Drosophila melanogaster: one gene and its partner. The protein of the gene in region 1 interacts with the protein of each later gene in a pairwise test. Each region holds a gene or a part of one and is shown on either strand. Other genes may lie near its edges.

Region 1 (2,840 bases):
CGTTCCTTCTGGATAAGCTCCTTCTTCATCTTCTAGCTCTTCCCCTACTGTGAGCCCCGCCTGCAGCGCCCAGCCAACTGGCAGCTGACTTGTTTACACAACACTTTGCATGTGTGTTTGTGTGTGCGGCCATTGCACATGTGTCCATGTCCATGTCCTGCAGGGGGAGTGGCAGGGGCGGTGGCGAAAGGATGGCAAAGTCAGCAAGCAAAGCTCTGGCGGCTTAATGGACGAAACGTGCTGTTGAATTAATTTCTGGCTTTATGCTCTCAATTTTTTCCTTCCGTTTTCCATTCAGCCGCCTTCGTTTTTTCTGCCAGCAGGCAGAAATATATGTACGTCTATGTATTGAATTTCAATTTTTAAGTACTTCAAACATTAAGCCCTACTAAAAACAAAATAAAGAACATTTTAAATAAAAAAAAAACCATTATAAAATTAAACGAAAATTCATAAACACTGACTGGCTTTTTACACAAAAATTAAATATATTAATAATTATGAAAACAATAATTTTTATTATAATCTACAATAGATTTGTGAGATACATTTTTGTTTGTTTGCTTACTCTGTATGAAAAATGTTCAATTTTGCTTGCTGTCTCAGCTCAAATGGGGCTGTGCATAAAGCCTACGAAATCGCGCAAGCTTATGCGACCATCGCCATCCATATCGACTGCTTGGCAGATATCCTTAATATCGTCATCGGTTACGACTTCGCCCAGGACGACCATAATGGCACGAACATCCTGGACGGTGACGTAGCCGTCGCGATCGCGGTCAATCATGTTAAAGGTCCGGCATAGACTTTTATCACTATCCACATTGGCCATTCGGGGCGCCATCATGCGTATAAATTTTTTCAAGTCCAGCCTCTCCTCGTCTCTCACAGCCACCGAATGGATGAGATCGTACAACTCTGCCTCAGTGATTTCGTAACCCACTGATATTAGAGCCAGTCGCACCTCGTTGGCTGATAATGTGCCATTCGAGTCCAGATCATACTTTTCAAAGGCATCCCTCAGTTCGTCGATATGCTCATTCGTCAGCTCATTGCCGGAAAAAGAAGGCATGGCACTAGCAAATAAAACCCTAAAGTAGTTCAGGAAAATCAGGAATACAAAAAAAAAAAGGAGAAATGGGGAAAAACCGATGTGTATGAAAACTGACAATCAACTCAACTCAACCGAACTCAAACTCTGTTCTCGATGGCTAATAAAACACTTAGGCAAGCAATTGTTGTTGTTGCGGTCACAAACTTTTCCGGAATAATAATGCATCATATACTCGTACAAGGGGCAATAAAGGGAAAAAATAAGGAAAGCAGAGATGCTGAAGCATGCAACGTTTGGAGAACCATCCATCAATTTGTCAATTCAGCGCTTGCCTTTGAGTGGCCGTCCATGGGACAGGAATGATGTTAGATGACGATGATGATGATGATGGGCAGTAGTTGTGCTGTGGAGTGCTGGCCATAAAAAATCAAGCGGGCATATAAATTGAAAGGATGCTCTTGTACTAGCTGAAAGGATTTTTTGTAATCCCTGTCCAGTTTCAAGTAATTATATTGAATAAATGCTATCATAGTTGGACTTTTAAATTTCAACCATACTGTGAAATATTTTTGAGAAAATCCTAATTAAGACTGCTGTAATTTCAGCAAATAAGAAAACATTTATTTAACCACACCTTCTGTCTAATGCTTCTACCTCCGCCTCCTCAAATCCCTACAATCGCAGGGGACGCGAAGCCACTGACTTGTCAGGGATTTCTAGGCTTAGAAATAAGTTTTCCGACAGCCCATTTGATTCATTCAACTTTGAGGCCTGCTCTTGTTGCGTTCATTCCCCCAAAGACTTTGAGCCGGATGATAAGCAAATGAAATGTTGTCGCCGTCCCACATGACGAATGATTAATGACACGAATGATACATTTCTCCCGGGGGCAAAAACCACGCGCCACGGCCAGTCAAAAGTTTAAACCCAACTTTAACCATGGCAGGCACTTTTTCACTCGGTGTCACGGTGCCTGGCTGCAAATTTCGCTAGTCAGAGCTTAGTGGGGGATACTGTTTGCAAAGTGACTGAGTCCGGAGTCTTCTTCTGCTACATTAGCCTACTTCCTCCGCTCCACAAGCAACAGCCCACTCAGGATTCCTCTGATGCTGCAACAACTTGTGCTTGTGTATTTGCTTAAGCCGAGCTCGCTTTCCTGTTTCCTTCCGCTGCCTTTCCACTTTTCCACATTCCCACCGCTTCCATGAAAAGGGGGTGGGGGCGCAATGGCGAAGGGGCGCTGGGGCGGGGTCTCAGGAAAATTGATTTTGAAATAGTTGGTCTGCCTTTTTAAATTTGATTGACGTTATTACATTACATAACATCGCACACTAAGAGGAAAGGCGAAGCAGCTGGCTTAAGTTATTCATCCATTTAGCCCCACTTAGGGGCGGGGGATGGTGGTGGTTGGCAGCTAGGGGCGGCGGGTGATTGTGACGGGCAACAACAAGTGGAAAACTGTCATTATATTTGAGTTATTGATGGTTTTTTTTTTTCAAAATCATTTTGCAACAATGTTGCTGCTACCCAACCGCACCGACACACTCACACACACACCAACACACTTTAGTCACACGCTGACAGGATCTACTCCCCCTCAACCGCCACCCCCTTACCCTTCCGCACACACACACACACACTGTTACATTTACGCTTAGTTAAACGCATGGCTGTGGCTTGTTAACGCCGACAAGCGCAAAAGTTTGCCGTTCGCCAAATGCTTGCGATAATCGACAAGCTCTCACATACTCAACCGAATGCACTCAAAAAAATGCGAGAGAATGCT
Region 2 (4,676 bases), on another chromosome or scaffold:
CCTCAACAGGTGCCCCAGAGCAACTACCTACCCGCCAACATCCTGAGTCGCCTGCGTCACTAGAAAATCGATTGTTAAACGTTGTTTTCGAATAAAAGTTATCTAATTTGGTTATGTAAATTATTGTATTTTCATTTGGTTAATTCCTTTAAAAATTGACGAAAGCAACATAAGTATGCAACAGTTTTCAAAATAAATTGTATACCTATTTATAGCAGCGATAATCGAATAAAAACAGAAAGAAAGAAGAAAGAAGAAATAAAAATACTTGTTCAAAACCCAAGATCTCAGCAGCCATAAACTGGTATTAAATTTTGAATATGGTTAAAGTATAAACTAGTTCCTAAGAAATATATAAGTGCTTCTACTTATGTGCGCTTTCAAAGTTTGCAAGAAAATATTTCGCTGCAAATAAATCCGAACTTGCGAAGTTTCGTTCCCAATGAACTCAGCCTGCAAAGTTTTTTGGTTTTTACAAATGCACTACAACAAGTCAAATTGGTTTTAAAATTTAAGAATTGAATTTATTTAAGCATTAGTCAACAAAAACTACGATTTAATATCAGTCAAAAATCGCTGGCGTTTTCGATTCCGAAAGGAGTGAAACGAGCGACTTAGACGCGACGGAAGACCGAAGATGGCAGGTAGGAGTTGTCGGGGCTCTGGGCGGCGGCCTGACGCACTGGAGCGGCGGAAGCGAAGTTCAGGACGGGGGCAACACCACCGTTGTGGGCCTGGCTGGATCCTCCCAGCTGGTCGTACTGACCCTGGATGGCGCGCTGGGCGTTGGCAGCGTCCTCGGGAGTGCGGTACTTGACGAAGTGCACCTCGGGCTTGTTGTTGTTGTTGCTGCGGATGGCGTTCAGCTTGTTGGCCAGATCTCCAATATCGGCCTGCTTGTTCAGGACATAGATGGCGGTCTCCTGCTGGGCAGCCTGCTTGGCGAGGGCCAGGGCGGCGTTCTCCAGGCCACGGTTCTCGGGTCCCTTGATGAAGACAACGCGCAGGGCCTTGTTCAGGGCAGAGGACACACGCTCCAGCTGCTGGGGCTCATCGAAGTCCTGCTCGTTGGCGGTGAAGGTGAAGAACTCCTTCTCCAGCTCGGCGGTTGGGGCAGGGGCGTTGTAGGAGACGGGGGCACTGAGGGCGTCACCACCACCAATGCTTCCGATGCTGCCAATGCTTCCACCACCAATGCTGCTCAGACCACCCAGACCGGCACCGCTTCCGATGCTGGCTCCAATGGAACCACCACCAATGGATCCTCCGATGCTGCCGCCTCCGATGCTGCCGCCTCCGATGCTGCCGCCTCCGATGCTGCCTCCTCCGATGCTGCCTCCTCCGATGGAGCCACCTCCAATGCTGCCACTTCCAGGAGCAAAGGACAGTCCGGAGCTGGAGTGTCCCACGGGCTGGTAGTTGTAGCCGAGCTTATCGGCGCAGGCGACTGCCACCAAGCACATAACCTGGAGATAAAGAAAACAGCATTGTAATCCTTGGTATCCTTTTGGAGTATTTCGTCGGCGATCGAACGTATACTTACAATGAAGGCACGCATTTTGAATTTAGTTCTTTGACTTTGACCACTTGGTTGTGTCTGACGTTTGCATCACCGAAAGGTCCAATATTTATACGAAAACCAACGATCGGTGTCACTAAACTGCGCTCAAGTTCATGCAGACTTTACCATCGTTGTATTTGTTGGCTCCGCAGCATTTTTTGGTAACTTCTTCGGCAGCTTTTGTCTCTTGAAATGCTATCCACCTTCGAAAAACGAAGCTTGTGCGATAAAACAATGGCCAAGCCGACGTGAACAAAGCGCATCGATACCTGGCCGCCCTATTCTTGCAAATGTTGGCGTCGACATTATGCTAATTCCACGATCCCTCAGTCCAAGTCGTAGTACCATCATCGAAAATTTTTAGGCACACGACCCTACCCGTCAAGTTGTAATCCAATAGAGCAGGCTCTCGGCGGAGGAAACGGCTGAAAACTCGTTTAGCAAAAGCCACTACTATAAATGGTCATGCTTTCAGTAAATGAAATGATTTTCTTCATATTTTGTATGCTAAAACATTTAGCGGAGCATCCAAACGAGTTCGAAAACGACTCGGTTTTTCTACACTTTTTAGTTGATCCAGCCGCATATTTCTAGCTGGGAATCCCCAGCGATTATTGCGTCCCCCTTTGGTATTTGGAATATTGTATATGGTATATGGTATGGTATGGTGTATGGTGTATGGTGTATGGAACTGGCTGCTCTAGGGTTTGGCCATATAAAACCCGAACACTGGACTGTGGACTGTGGTAGGGTTGAAAAACAATGGATCTGAAATGGATAGAAATCAATTTTCGCCAGCCTTTTTGCGCATCCATTCATTCATCCGTCCATCTATCCGACGGCCCATCTGTCCATTTGTCCGGAGCTCGTCGCTTGGCCATTTAACCTGTGGCAAAAACACGGCTTCGCAAAATAGAAGCCATAAAGCTAACAACCGTTGCGACCTTGAGGTTTTTTACTGTTGACCAGCACCCGAAGCTATTCGGAATTCGGCGGTAATCAGCTGGCGCCAGGCGACCATTTAATCTGATCAGCGATTATCACGTTTTTCATCATGGTTTATTGATATCATAAAAATTATGGTTTTTTATTTTATTTCGGCAAAGTTTTCGAGCAGAAGGGGGGTAGAGGCAGCAGCAAATCCGCTGAAAACTGATTTGATTTGCATAATTTAGGAGAAATACCCAAGATCCATATTTAAGATAGCCGAACCGATTTGCAAATCAATAGTGGCGAATGCCAATCGCGGTTATGACTAATATATATATTGATTGATATCACGGATAACTATAGCGATGAGTAACTCGAAGATGGGGTCAGTTAGGAAATCCGCTAAGACATCACAACCATGATATCATTTTCAGTGACGGACACACACAAGTTCTATATGGTTCTATATCTAATGATGCTATATGATGCCCCCCATTCCACGCTGGCCGGGATCCAATTAAGATTCACATTCGAAGCAATAACCTAAAGTCAAAAACAATTTGTCTTGGCTTTGTGTGCGGCCCCACCTTTTGCCCACTGCCAACTGTTGCGGCTCGCCGATTGGCCAGCATCTCAGCCAAGTTAGTCGCTGGTGGCAATGTCATATGCAAACTAATCAAATGTAAGCATAATAAAACAACCCAGCCACAATTTCAAGGTCTCGGGCGCCACACGCACATAAAAGATGCACGCAGCAGCGACATAAAAAGTGGTCAAAACGCGGGAAAAGAGTTTCCAGCACGAAATCGAAGATAATAGCGGTCGGACGACGTTGGCGTATCAATAAATAAATAAAAAAAAAACGGCTCAAGCGGACAAAAAACATCTACGGGAGGGAATTTCTGGCACCACTTTATGTAAATGGCCTTTTGGGTCAATCGATCTATTTACAAAATCTGACACTGTTTATTATTTTATCCATTATTTTTAGTCTTTCTCTCTTCGAGACAACAAGACTGCCCCTATATTATTTTATTGCCATTGTACTGGCACCCACCAGAATGTCGAAACGAATAAAATTGTGCATTTAATTTATTCGGCTATCACCTGGCTGGTGTCAAAACCGGGCGGTGCCTTTCAGGTGCAAAAATCCAATCAAATCTGTCGCCTCACCATAAATTGGAGCATTAGTAATTTCCTTAAATCATAAGCTTTATTTACGAACGACAAATTTGCCAGTTAAACCCCAGTTAAACGAGTTTGTTTGCTTCTAGCCTTTCTTTTGCAAAAATGTTTGGAGCTGCCGGCTTTTCGAACTCTTTTACGAGCAGACCGTTTCTATTCTTCTCTAGATACGAGTTTTAGTTGCCAAAATTATTTCCGCATGCCTGGCGACAAATAAAAAACAAAAAATGTTACCCAAAAAGCTGACTGGCTTGCCGCAAAATCGTTTCTCTTTTGCAAAAGAAATATATGCAAATATATTAAATCTGATATGCAAATAGCCGATATCAATTATTTCAAGCGCAAAAACCCGAACCAAACCATGGAAACTAAACTAAAGCTTATGCTAAAAAAACGCAATATTTTAAAAAACCTATCCGAGAGTGCTGAAAGGAATAAATCAAATCAAATTTCGCCGAGCTGGCCAATTTGTTTGGCAAATTGTGTTAGCGATATAAATATTTTGTATTGACAATCAAACGGCAACGACGACAGATGCTGATTATTATTTTGCGTGTTTATGTATTTTTTGCTTGCAACCAGCTAAATGGCCGAGATTATTTATTAAAAAGTTAGCCATACAAGAGATTTCTGTTTGTGCACATCAGCCGAAAATGGCATAAGAAATCAACAATAGGAAAAAATATAGAAAATATTAAAAAAATATGCTCTATGCTTTATTTCTACATGGATAGAGCGATAAGAGCGGCAAATAAATTTGCGGCTTTTTGCGCGATCCTTGGCACCCACAAGAAGGCAATAAATTATTTTCGAGGTCTCCTTAGTACGCATTCTGCGCAGTAAAAAACACATTTTTGTCTGCCTTATAGTGCATATTGTCGTCGACGCTTGAGCTCTCCATTTTATTTTAATTGCAGGCCTGCCTCTGCCTAATGCCAGCTTAATGTCCCAGTTTTCAGGATCCCGGACTCTTTACGAGCAACAGCACGGTCCCAGTGCA

Evidence for each region. The genes of interacting proteins can lie anywhere in the genome.
Region 2: the proteins of CG13526 (region 1) and TwdlM interact in a two-hybrid assay, tested with the Drosophila melanogaster proteins (one large-scale study listed by BioGRID).

What each region holds. Positions count from the first base shown.
Region 1 is NT_033778.4:22,753,557-22,756,396, reverse strand, and holds CG13526 (uncharacterized protein), read right to left. Parts: upstream 1,179-2,840; 5' UTR 1,073-1,178; coding exon 608-1,072; 3' UTR 501-607; downstream 1-500.
Region 2 is NT_033777.3:26,616,049-26,620,724, reverse strand, and holds TwdlM (TweedleM), read right to left. Parts: upstream 1,608-4,676; 5' UTR 1,559-1,607; coding exon 1,544-1,558; intron 1,467-1,543; coding exon 615-1,466; 3' UTR 501-614; downstream 1-500. Other genes in the region: TwdlP (TweedleP), read left to right, coding at 1-63.